Linked DNA regions of Arabidopsis thaliana. The protein of the gene in region 1 interacts with the protein of each later gene in a pairwise test. Each region holds a gene or a part of one and is shown in the gene's direction. Other genes may lie near its edges. The genes, in order: ROPGEF1 and FER.

What was found.
Region 2: the proteins of ROPGEF1 (region 1) and FER interact in binary tests that used the Arabidopsis thaliana proteins (3 or more experiments, as listed by UniProt).

What each region holds. Positions count from the first base shown.
Region 1 is NC_003075.7:17,984,247-17,989,474, forward strand, and holds ROPGEF1 (rho guanyl-nucleotide exchange factor 1), read left to right. Parts: upstream 1-2,137; 5' UTR 2,138-2,396; coding exon 2,397-2,664; intron 2,665-2,751; coding exon 2,752-2,868; intron 2,869-2,954; coding exon 2,955-3,475; intron 3,476-3,587; coding exon 3,588-3,941; intron 3,942-4,026; coding exon 4,027-4,413; 3' UTR 4,414-4,623; downstream 4,624-5,228. Other genes in the region: sks9 (SKU5 similar 9), read left to right, coding at 1-459, 560-638, 718-927; IYO (RPAP1-like, carboxy-terminal protein), read left to right, coding at 4,869-5,042. UniProt on the Arabidopsis thaliana protein: Guanine-nucleotide exchange factor (GEF) that acts as an activator of Rop (Rho of plants) GTPases by promoting the exchange of GDP for GTP. Acts downstream of PRK2 in the control of polarized pollen tube growth by activating ARAC11/ROP1.
Region 2 is NC_003074.8:19,116,920-19,122,793, reverse strand, and holds FER (Malectin/receptor-like protein kinase family protein), read left to right. Parts: upstream 1-1,844; 5' UTR 1,845-2,014; intron 2,015-2,189; 5' UTR 2,190-2,229; coding exon 2,230-4,917; 3' UTR 4,918-5,210; downstream 5,211-5,874. Other genes in the region: AT3G51560 (Disease resistance protein (TIR-NBS-LRR class) family), read left to right, coding at 1-279, 366-986; AT3G51540 (mucin-5AC-like protein), read right to left, coding at 5,584-5,874. UniProt on the Arabidopsis thaliana protein: Receptor-like protein kinase that mediates the female control of male gamete delivery during fertilization, including growth cessation of compatible pollen tubes ensuring a reproductive isolation barriers, by regulating MLO7 subcellular polarization upon pollen tube perception in the female gametophyte synergids.

The sequences.
Region 1 (5,228 bases):
ACATAGCCACTCATCTTCTGCTAATTCAGTCCATGTTCAACAACCTGCCGATGAACTAGATTGGTCTATCAAACAAGCCCGGTCCATTAGGACCAATCTAACCGCGTCTGGGCCAAGGCCTAACCCTCAGGGTTCGTACCACTATGGTCGAATCAAGATTTCTAGGACTTTGATATTGGAAAGCTCAGCGGCACTAGTGAAGAGGAAGCAACGCTACGCCATAAACGGAGTGTCGTTTGTACCTGGAGATACTCCGCTAAAGCTTGCGGATTACTTCAAGATCAAAGGCGTTTTCAAAATGGGAAGCATACCTGACAAGCCGAGAAGAGGAAGAGGGATGAGAATGGAGACGTCAGTGATGGGAGCACACCATAGAGACTTCCTTGAAATCATATTTCAAAACCGCGAGAAGATCGTCCAAAGCTACCACCTCGATGGATATAGTTTTTGGGTTGTTGGGTGAGAATAATTAAAGATTAGCTATATCTATCGTCCTCTATATATAGTAGCTAGTAATAATGCATTGCATGCATCTGATGTTTGTGAGTACTGTCCACAGGACGGATAGAGGAACATGGTCAAAAGCAAGCAGACGAGAGTATAATCTTAGGGATGCTATTTCTCGCTCCACCACTCAGGTACAAATAGTTTCTAACTCCATATATCTTACCAAAAATTTTAAAAAATCATCTCAAAACTAGTATTTGGTTGTTGTAGGTATATCCAGAATCTTGGACAGCCGTATATGTGGCACTGGACAATGTGGGGATGTGGAATCTAAGGAGTGAATATTGGGCGAGGCAATACTTGGGTCAACAATTCTACCTTCGAGTTTATTCTCCAACACACTCTCTTAGAGATGAATATCTTTTGCCTAAGAATGCTTTGTTGTGTGGCCGAGCCTCCAATAAACACACCACTCCTTAATGACTCTACTCAGACCAATCGTCAATGGCTGATTTAGGGATATGTATTTTATTATATTGAGTTCTTTATTCTTTATAATTTCAATAGCTAGATATATGTTGCACAATTATTATATATACTTCAAAAATTGTAATGTATACCCAAATTTGATGAAAATTTTACTGTTTTGTAACGGTTATTGCTAAGTTTGAAGTTAATTTTTGTAGGCAAATGCAATGTTTTCATATGAATCAACCAAGTAACTCTACCATATCACCAAGCAAAATAGTATAGTTTGAAGAGAGAGAGTAAATTAAAAAAAAAAAAAAACCATACATAACATATTAGAAACATTAATTTCGAATAAACAGACTTTAACGATGAAATAAAAATTTAAATTATTATCCACCGGTAGATGTAGAATGTTTATTGGTATAGAAAGTTGTTCTATTTGGTCAAAGTTTTTGTTGACCTTGCAATTACAAATTACAAGGCTGTCAATCGAATGAAAAACATGGCAATGGAAAAGATTTGCTAATAATGCCAAGACAAACAAACGTTTATTTGGAAGGTTAAAAGCCTTTTAGAGAAGAAAAAAAAAGAGCAGAGAGTCAACTAATTAAGCCATGCATGTGAATCAACACCAATCCATAGCATATTCTAGTGATCAGTGACATTAATATTGTAGATTACTATATTAACCCGAATTCAAAGGGCATTAAATAGGTACTTTAATGAATTGAATTAAGAAGAGTAATATAATCAACGGCTTAGATTCGTTGCGTGAAAAAACCATAACCGAAAACAGCGGAATCCACGAAATAAGTAAGCCAAACGCAATCTAGACCGTACGATGTGAATACTTTAATGACGCCAGAATACTATGGACAGTGTAGATCAGGCGAATGGGCGTAATACACGTGGCGTAAAATCACGAGGATAGATATGGTGCAACGTAGTTCAGGCCGGTGTGGTACGAGAGAGTCTGATGATCCGACAAGGAATACTTCTAGTCCACACAATGTCAGCCTTTCTTTATTTTCTCGGTCGCTTCGAGATTCTCAATTCTGCTCTGTAGAAAAGATCCTGATGGTTCACTTTTAATATCCAACGGTTGATATAACACAAGCGCATGCTCCTCTTATGAGAACGGCCGTGGGATATAATTTAATCTCGCCGTTAAAAAATGTGACGACCGTGAGTTAACGGTTTATCTGTTACCAACCTCATACCTGTCCCTAACGGCAGAGGATAACGCCGTGAGTATGGATGGATGGGAGAGAAAAGAAGAGAGAGAGTGTGAGTGAGGAAATGAAAGGAGTCTTTTTTATTTGTTATCTCTCATCTCTCTCTCTCTTTCTCTCTGAGCTTTGCTTTTTATCAAACAAGCATCATCATCACATCCACTTCCTTCTTCTTCCTTTCTCTGTCTGTCTCTTAACCCAAATGTGGACTCTTTGAGCCGTTATTAGATCTCTGCCGCTTCAATAATGGGGAGCTTATCTTCTGAGGAAGACGACGAAGTCTCTTCCGAGAGATGCGGAAGTTACAGTCCCAGCGCCGACATTAGCGAGTCCGAGAGTTCCAGCAGCTTCTCCTGCCACCGCTTCGACGGCGAGGGTGCCTCTAGCTCCATCCCTTCTTCCCCTCGAGTTGTCGCTGGTAGAGGATTTTACTTCCCGGCCCCAGTCATGCTTCCGGTGATCGGCGGCAAAGATGTGGTCTGGGATGACAAACAACCAGACAACGATTTATCCGGTATAAAAGTTTCCAAATTTGACCTCTTTTGTAAACATTGATGAACACTAGGATTCAATTTCCCTTTTGTTTCCTATTGGGTTTCAGAAATTGAGATGATGAAGGAGAGATTTGCTAAGCTACTTCTCGGGGAAGACATGTCTGGTGGAGGTAAAGGGGTTTGTACGGCGCTTGCTATCTCCAACGCCATCACCAATCTCTCTGGTACCATCTCAATCTTCTTCCCTTTTTGTTAGTTGGTATATATAGTAGGGGTTTCTAGTTTTTTAATAAGGCTAGTGTCCACACAGCGACTGTGTTTGGCGAACTATGGAGGCTTGAGCCTCTTGCTCCTCAGAAGAAGGCCATGTGGCGCAGAGAACTTGAGTGGCTGCTCTGTGTTAGCGATTCTATCGTTGAGCTCATTCCTTCCATTCAGCAGTTCCCTGGAGGCGGAACTTATGAGATCATGGAGACCCGTCCACGTTCTGATCTCTATGCCAATCTCCCTGCTCTCAAGAAGCTCGATGCTATGTTGATCGATATGCTTGACGCTTTCTCCGATACTGAGTTCTGGTACACTGATCGCGGCATAGTTCTTGGTGATTGTGACAAGGATTCTTACAATTCTCCAGCTTCCGTTAGGCAGGAGGACAAGTGGTGGCTGCCTTGCCCTAAGGTTCCGCCTAACGGTTTGTCAGAAGAGGCCAGGAAGAAACTGCAGCAGTGTCGGGACTTTGCTAACCAGATTCTCAAGGCTGCATTGGCAATTAACAGTGGCGTGCTTGCCGAAATGGAGATTCCCGACCCTTACTTGGAGACTTTGCCCAAGGTATGCGCCTTCTCGAGCTCAAGGATTAGCTTTTTCATTGCTGCTGGAGCATAAATTCTTTTACCGTTATATGTGATTAGCTCATTGAGTTATGATTTTAAACTTAATGCAGAGCGGGAAGGAATGTCTTGGAGAGATCATCTACCAGTACTTAACTGCAAACAAGTTCTCTCCCGAATGCCTCCTGGACTGTCTTGATCTCTCATCGGAACATCAGACTCTTGAAATCGCCAACCGGATTGAGGCGGCTGTGCATGTTTGGAGACAAAAGAATGGGAGGAGGCACAAGAAGCAGGCGAAACTAAAGCTGTCTTCTTGGGGTGGCAAGGTTAAAGGCCTTGTTAATGACAACGAAAGAAATGATTTCCTTGTGCAGAGAGCCGAGACCCTCTTGCAGAGTCTCAGGATCCGTTTCCCGGGACTTCCCCAGACAACGCTGGACATGAACAAGATTCAGTACAACAAGGTACATTATAGTTTGGAGTGTGCTTTGCTGGTTGCATCATGAAACGATGCTTAGATAATTTAAGAGTTTGTGTGTGTTCTTGCAGGATGTAGGGCAATCAATTCTGGAGAGTTACTCTAGGGTGATGGAGAGCATGGCCTTCAACATCACGGCCAGAATAGATGATGTGCTTTATGTTGATGATGCCATGAGAAGATCCATCTCTGTCACAGAATCGCTATCCCTATTCAGCATCAATGGACTCAACCCTCAAAAAGCGTTCTCTGTGCAGAGCTCTCCGCACGGTTCACCATTTGCAACGCCTGCCCTAAGTGTAGCATCAAGAAGCCCGAGGAGAGCACCGCCGCTGTATTCAGTGAAGAGGAATGGGACGAGAGAGAAGGGAATAGTGGGAGAAACAGAGAAAGCATGGTCGTATGCAGGGAATCTGAGTTCAAGAAGAGTAACGGGAGTGACGCCGGAAAGAGATTAAGATTGAAAATAGAAGAATGTAAATCAATGGTTGTAGAGACTGTAGTTGTTTCTTGTTTGTCTGACTACGAAGACGAATGTGGTAATAGCAACAAGAATGTTATCTTATGTGGAGTTTTGAAATGTTGTTAACAAATCAATTCCTTAGCTCATTTACCAAGTTTACAAAGATTATGGTCCAAGTCCTAAAACTGAATGAACATCACATACCCGTCTCTTGAGTGATTTAATCATGTTCTTCATTGCACTAAAGCGACAACTTTTGGTTCAAATATAGACTATGACTATATGGTTTGTTTTGCACAGGATTAAAGTTGATGTTCCAATTTTATAATTAAAAAGTCAGAAAGGGGTTTTCTTGTTATTTTTTACTTGTTCTTATAAGCTATCGGGACGACACGGAGTTTTAAAGAGTTTTCCGTTTTGCTGAGCGGAGGCGAGAGAGGGTTTAGAGTGATGGAGCAAAGTAGCGGGAGAGTCAATCCGGAACAGCCGAACAACGTCTTGGCGAGCCTTGTCGGGAGCATCGTGGAGAAAGGAATATCGGAGAATAAGCCTCCAAGCAAGCCGCTTCCCCCAAGGCCCTCCCTTCTTTCCTTCCCCGTCGCTCGTCATCGTTCTCACGGACCCGTAAGCCAATCCAATCCTCTAGTGCGTGCTTTTTAGGTTTCCATCTTCCTTTTGTTGCCTTCTTCTAGATTTTAAGCACCTTCTACTGTTGTTTAGTACTTGGGACTCCACAATTTTTCACCGTGCCTGACCTTGTAATTCAGCTTTCTGAGACATCTAATTTTTGTTTCTCATGTTTGATTTTGT
Region 2 (5,874 bases), on another chromosome or scaffold:
TTCAGCAAAATCCCTGAAAGCATAAAGCAGTTATCTAAACTACATAGCCTTAGATTAAGACATTGTAGAAACCTCATATTGCTTCCGGCGCTTCCCCAAAGCCTGAAACTGTTGAACGTGCATGGTTGTGTGTCTCTAGAGTCAGTTTCTTGGGGATTTGAGCAGTTTCCTAGTCATTACACCTTCAGCGATTGCTTCAATAAGTCTCCAAAAGTGGCTAGAAAACGAGTTGTAAAAGGCCTGGCTAAAGTAGCAAGCATTGGCAACGAACATCAGCAGGTAACTCTCTCGTTCTCATGTCCCTTCTTTCTCACTCATACATACTTTAGCGTATATGTAATTTTCCTTTTTCTTGTTGGGACCAGGAACTCATCAAAGCACTTGCATTCAGCATTTGCGGGCCTGCAGGAGCAGATCAGGCAACCTCTTATAATTTGCGGGCAGGTTCATTTGCAACGATAGAGATAACTCCTTCCCTGCGAAAGACACTCTTGGGGTTTGCTATCTTCGTTGTAGTATCGTTTTCGGATGATAGTCACAACAACGCTGGGCTTGGCGTTAGGTGCGTAAGCAGATGGAAGACAAAGAAAAGGGTGGTCACTGGTAAAGCAGAGAAAGTGTTTAGGTGTTGGGCTCCGAGAGAAGCTCCTGAGGTTCAAAGGGATCACATGTTTGTGTTTTATGAGGATGCCGAAATGCATCGAGGTGGTGGTGAGGGAAACAAACCAAATATAATGGCTGATCACGTTGAATTTGAATTCCAAGCAGTAAATGGAAGAAACAAGGTCTTAGGCGGTAATTGCATGGTGACAGAATGTGATGTTTGTGTTATAACAGCTGCAACTGGTGCGGCGAGTCTGAGTGTAACAAATGCAAGTAAGGATATGAGTTTAAGTAAGAATCATTCTCCGAAGCTTTCAAGTGTGATTGGTAAGCTTCGATTTAAGCGAGTTGGTAGGTTTGGTGGTTGTGTTTGCCTAGAGTGAAGAAAAGTTAAGAGTGGGAACTGGGAAGAGTGTATGTATGTGACTCGTCTCATGCGTGCCCAAATGCGAAGTAGCAGAAACATGTATGTTTGAAATGTAATTTTTATTATTTAAAATTGGCATAAACAAAAAAAAATGTGTTGTCTGAAAGAGAATTAATGATATGTTAATGTAAATATTTAGTGCATGTTTGATGTAATGGTTTAAAGTTTTATTTTATTTTGAAAGACTGAGAAAACAAGGATCACAAACTCTGTTTTGAATCAAGAAGGTGTAGACCAAAAAAATTGCACACGTTCGGCCTTAACCACGGTTTATTTGTATTCAAGGTTACTTGGATTTGACATCGGAGATCAAGGTTACTCCTTACCTTAGACATGATCGATCAAAAGGAGGCTACGCCGATTGTCATAAACATATATCATGTGCACGTTAGATAAGGCCCACTTATAACTGGGCCATAGGAGATAAACTGAAATCAGAGTAAAAAGCCCATGATTACGTAAACTATCCTAACTAACTAACGAGTTATTATCAAAGCAGGCCCCATTCTTTCCCTTTATAGTATAATATAGAGTACCAGCTCAGCCACGAGCAGTCACCACCGCACACAAAAATACGCGTTTCATAAAATTCTCTTGTCTTTTCTTTAGTTTAATGGATTTACTCTCTCACATTTTATGAACTGTCATCCAAACCATACCAATCAACATTATCCTTCGAATGGTCAAGACATATATAATTCCAGCTGTTGATACTCAAAGGTCATTATCGTCACTTCACCCACCTTCAAGCCGGCTTCAATTAATTAAACCCGATAACTATATCTTAATTTAATCTTATTGAAATTAAAATAACGTTAACGCGTAGAGGGAAGCAACAATGCTTGTCCGTTTTGTCGTCGTCTTGACTATACTTACCTCTCCACTCATTAATTGATTTTCTCTCTCTCTCCCCCAAAATATCTCTGTCTTCTCCAAAAACTCTCTCCGATTTCATCGCTTAGGGTTTCTTCCCCGATTCTTCAGGTATGTAATCATCATCATCATCTTCCTCACTTCACTCTCCCTTACTACTGTATTCAAACTTCAATTTCATCTGTTTCTTAAGCTCAATTTTCGTAACCAAACGAACATGTACCTCTAGCACTTTCCATTTTTAGATCTGTGAAGTTTATAGTTTCGATTTTCTTTCGTTTGATAGATCTGAGAAGAAGATCTTCCCGGAGAAGTGCTCTTGATCGATGAAGATCACAGAGGGACGATTCCGTCTCTCTCTTCTTCTTCTTCTTCTTCTCATATCTGCAGCAACTTTAATCTCAGCTGCTGATTACTCTCCAACAGAGAAAATCCTATTGAATTGCGGTGGTGGTGCTTCTAATCTAACCGACACAGATAACCGTATATGGATCTCCGATGTCAAATCAAAATTCTTATCATCTTCCTCTGAAGACTCTAAAACATCACCAGCGTTAACACAAGATCCTTCCGTTCCCGAAGTTCCTTACATGACGGCGAGAGTTTTCCGATCTCCTTTCACTTACACTTTCCCTGTAGCATCAGGTCGTAAATTCGTGCGTCTCTACTTCTACCCAAACTCGTACGACGGTCTCAACGCTACCAACTCGTTATTCTCCGTCTCCTTTGGTCCTTACACTCTTCTCAAGAATTTCAGTGCTTCTCAGACGGCGGAGGCGTTGACTTACGCTTTCATCATCAAGGAGTTTGTTGTCAACGTTGAAGGTGGAACGTTGAACATGACGTTTACACCGGAATCAGCTCCGTCTAATGCGTATGCGTTTGTTAATGGGATTGAGGTTACTTCAATGCCTGATATGTATAGTAGTACTGATGGGACTTTGACTATGGTTGGATCATCTGGCTCTGTTACTATTGATAACAGTACTGCTCTTGAGAATGTGTATAGGCTCAATGTTGGAGGGAATGATATCTCGCCTTCCGCGGATACGGGTTTGTATAGGTCGTGGTATGATGATCAGCCTTATATATTTGGTGCAGGACTTGGTATTCCAGAGACTGCTGATCCCAACATGACGATTAAGTATCCTACGGGGACTCCTACTTATGTTGCTCCTGTGGATGTTTATTCAACCGCGAGGTCTATGGGTCCAACAGCTCAGATCAATCTCAACTACAATCTTACTTGGATTTTCAGCATTGACTCTGGTTTCACTTACCTTGTTAGACTTCATTTCTGTGAGGTTTCTTCGAATATCACTAAGATCAACCAACGGGTGTTTACAATCTACCTCAACAATCAAACTGCTGAGCCTGAAGCTGATGTGATTGCTTGGACTAGTTCAAACGGGGTTCCGTTTCACAAGGATTACGTGGTGAATCCTCCAGAGGGAAATGGACAGCAAGATTTGTGGCTTGCTCTTCATCCTAACCCAGTTAACAAGCCGGAGTATTATGATTCTCTTCTTAATGGAGTGGAGATATTCAAGATGAATACTTCTGATGGTAATCTGGCTGGTACCAATCCTATACCTGGTCCACAGGTGACTGCTGATCCATCTAAAGTCCTACGCCCGACTACTAGGAAATCGAAAAGCAATACGGCTATTATTGCAGGCGCAGCCAGTGGTGCAGTTGTTCTGGCCCTTATCATTGGGTTTTGTGTGTTTGGTGCTTACCGCAGACGTAAGCGTGGTGATTACCAGCCTGCTAGTGATGCAACATCAGGGTGGCTTCCACTATCTCTGTATGGAAACTCACATTCTGCTGGCTCGGCGAAGACAAACACAACAGGAAGTTATGCCTCGTCCCTTCCGTCAAATCTTTGCCGTCACTTCTCGTTTGCTGAGATCAAAGCTGCCACTAAAAACTTTGATGAGTCCCGGGTGCTTGGTGTTGGTGGTTTCGGCAAGGTTTACAGAGGAGAGATTGATGGCGGAACTACAAAGGTAGCCATCAAGAGAGGCAACCCAATGTCCGAGCAAGGTGTACATGAGTTCCAGACTGAGATTGAAATGCTTTCAAAGCTTAGACATCGTCATCTTGTGTCCTTGATTGGATACTGTGAAGAGAACTGCGAAATGATCTTAGTCTATGATTACATGGCTCATGGTACAATGAGGGAGCATCTCTACAAAACCCAGAATCCTTCTCTTCCATGGAAGCAACGTCTTGAGATATGCATTGGAGCAGCCCGAGGTTTACACTATCTACACACTGGTGCAAAACACACAATCATCCATAGAGATGTGAAGACAACAAACATTCTATTGGATGAGAAATGGGTGGCCAAGGTCTCTGATTTTGGTCTATCGAAGACTGGTCCTACACTAGACCACACACACGTAAGCACAGTTGTGAAAGGAAGTTTCGGTTATCTTGACCCAGAGTATTTCAGACGGCAGCAACTGACTGAGAAATCCGATGTCTACTCCTTTGGCGTTGTTCTATTCGAAGCTCTATGCGCTCGTCCAGCCTTGAACCCAACACTTGCAAAGGAACAAGTGAGCTTAGCTGAGTGGGCACCATACTGCTACAAGAAAGGCATGCTAGATCAAATCGTTGATCCCTACCTCAAGGGCAAGATCACACCAGAATGCTTCAAAAAGTTTGCTGAAACCGCGATGAAGTGTGTTCTAGACCAGGGCATTGAGAGACCATCAATGGGAGATGTTCTGTGGAACTTAGAATTTGCGTTGCAGCTCCAGGAAAGCGCAGAAGAGAACGGAAAAGGAGTATGCGGTGACATGGACATGGATGAGATTAAGTACGATGATGGAAACTGTAAAGGAAAGAACGACAAGAGTTCTGATGTGTATGAAGGGAATGTGACGGACTCGAGGAGCAGTGGAATAGATATGAGCATCGGTGGTAGGAGTTTGGCCAGCGAAGATTCAGATGGACTCACTCCAAGTGCTGTGTTTTCTCAGATCATGAATCCAAAGGGACGTTAGAGAAGTCTTATAACACGGTACAACACTACTACCTTTCTAAACCGGCTCCATCCAAAGGAGACCGGTTCGTTTCTCTTTTTTATATTTTTTTTCCTCTTAACTATTTATTATTATTCTCTTTGCTGTTATTTATTTAGAATTTTGGATTTGTGTATTTGATGCCACGATGGAGAGTGTAAAAAATAATGTATTTTTTTTTCTTCTTTCTACAAAAACATTAAACATGAATCGCGTCAATGTACTATTTGGTTTGTTATCTATAACGTTTTTGGTAATTGTTGCATCTTTACTCTATTACACGTCGTACTCTTATGAACAAACTAGTACCCATTTATTACAAAGTCGTACTCTTATGAACATAAACGGAAGTACATCAATCACTTCTCTGTTTTACTATATAGACGCATTTTAACGGAATCCTACCAATAGTGTCTTTTCTTGCAAATATTTTGATTTAAACAAGAAGGGTCAAAGTTGTATATTTCTGCTGATCAATACAAACAAACACTTTGAAAGAAAAAAACAACGAGTAGAAGAACTATGTGTAATGTTTTTCTCTTGATTGCATAAGAATTTAAAAAGAGTGAAACAGGATTATTTTTCCAAGCAGCTCTCTTGTTTTTAACTACAACAAACAGGAAAGAAAACTCAAAAGGAGTCAGAGTCTCAGAGAGGAGAGAATAGATCAGGAGGAGAGTCAAAAGCATTGTCGAAGATGAGAGATTGAGGAGATTCATCATCAATGTTAAGTAGCCAGTTTGTATCCTTGACATCTTTAACATTCAAGAGTGCGTCGTAACGAGCACTATCGTTCTTGTTCTCTGTGTTGTTCCCTTCTTTCGTTAAGCTTCTTCCATCTTCCTCTTCATGGTTGCTGCTGCTGCAGCTGCCTTCACTACTACCACACGGTTTTCTTAGACCCGAAGAAGAAGATCTGATGCTGTGTGGATACAACAT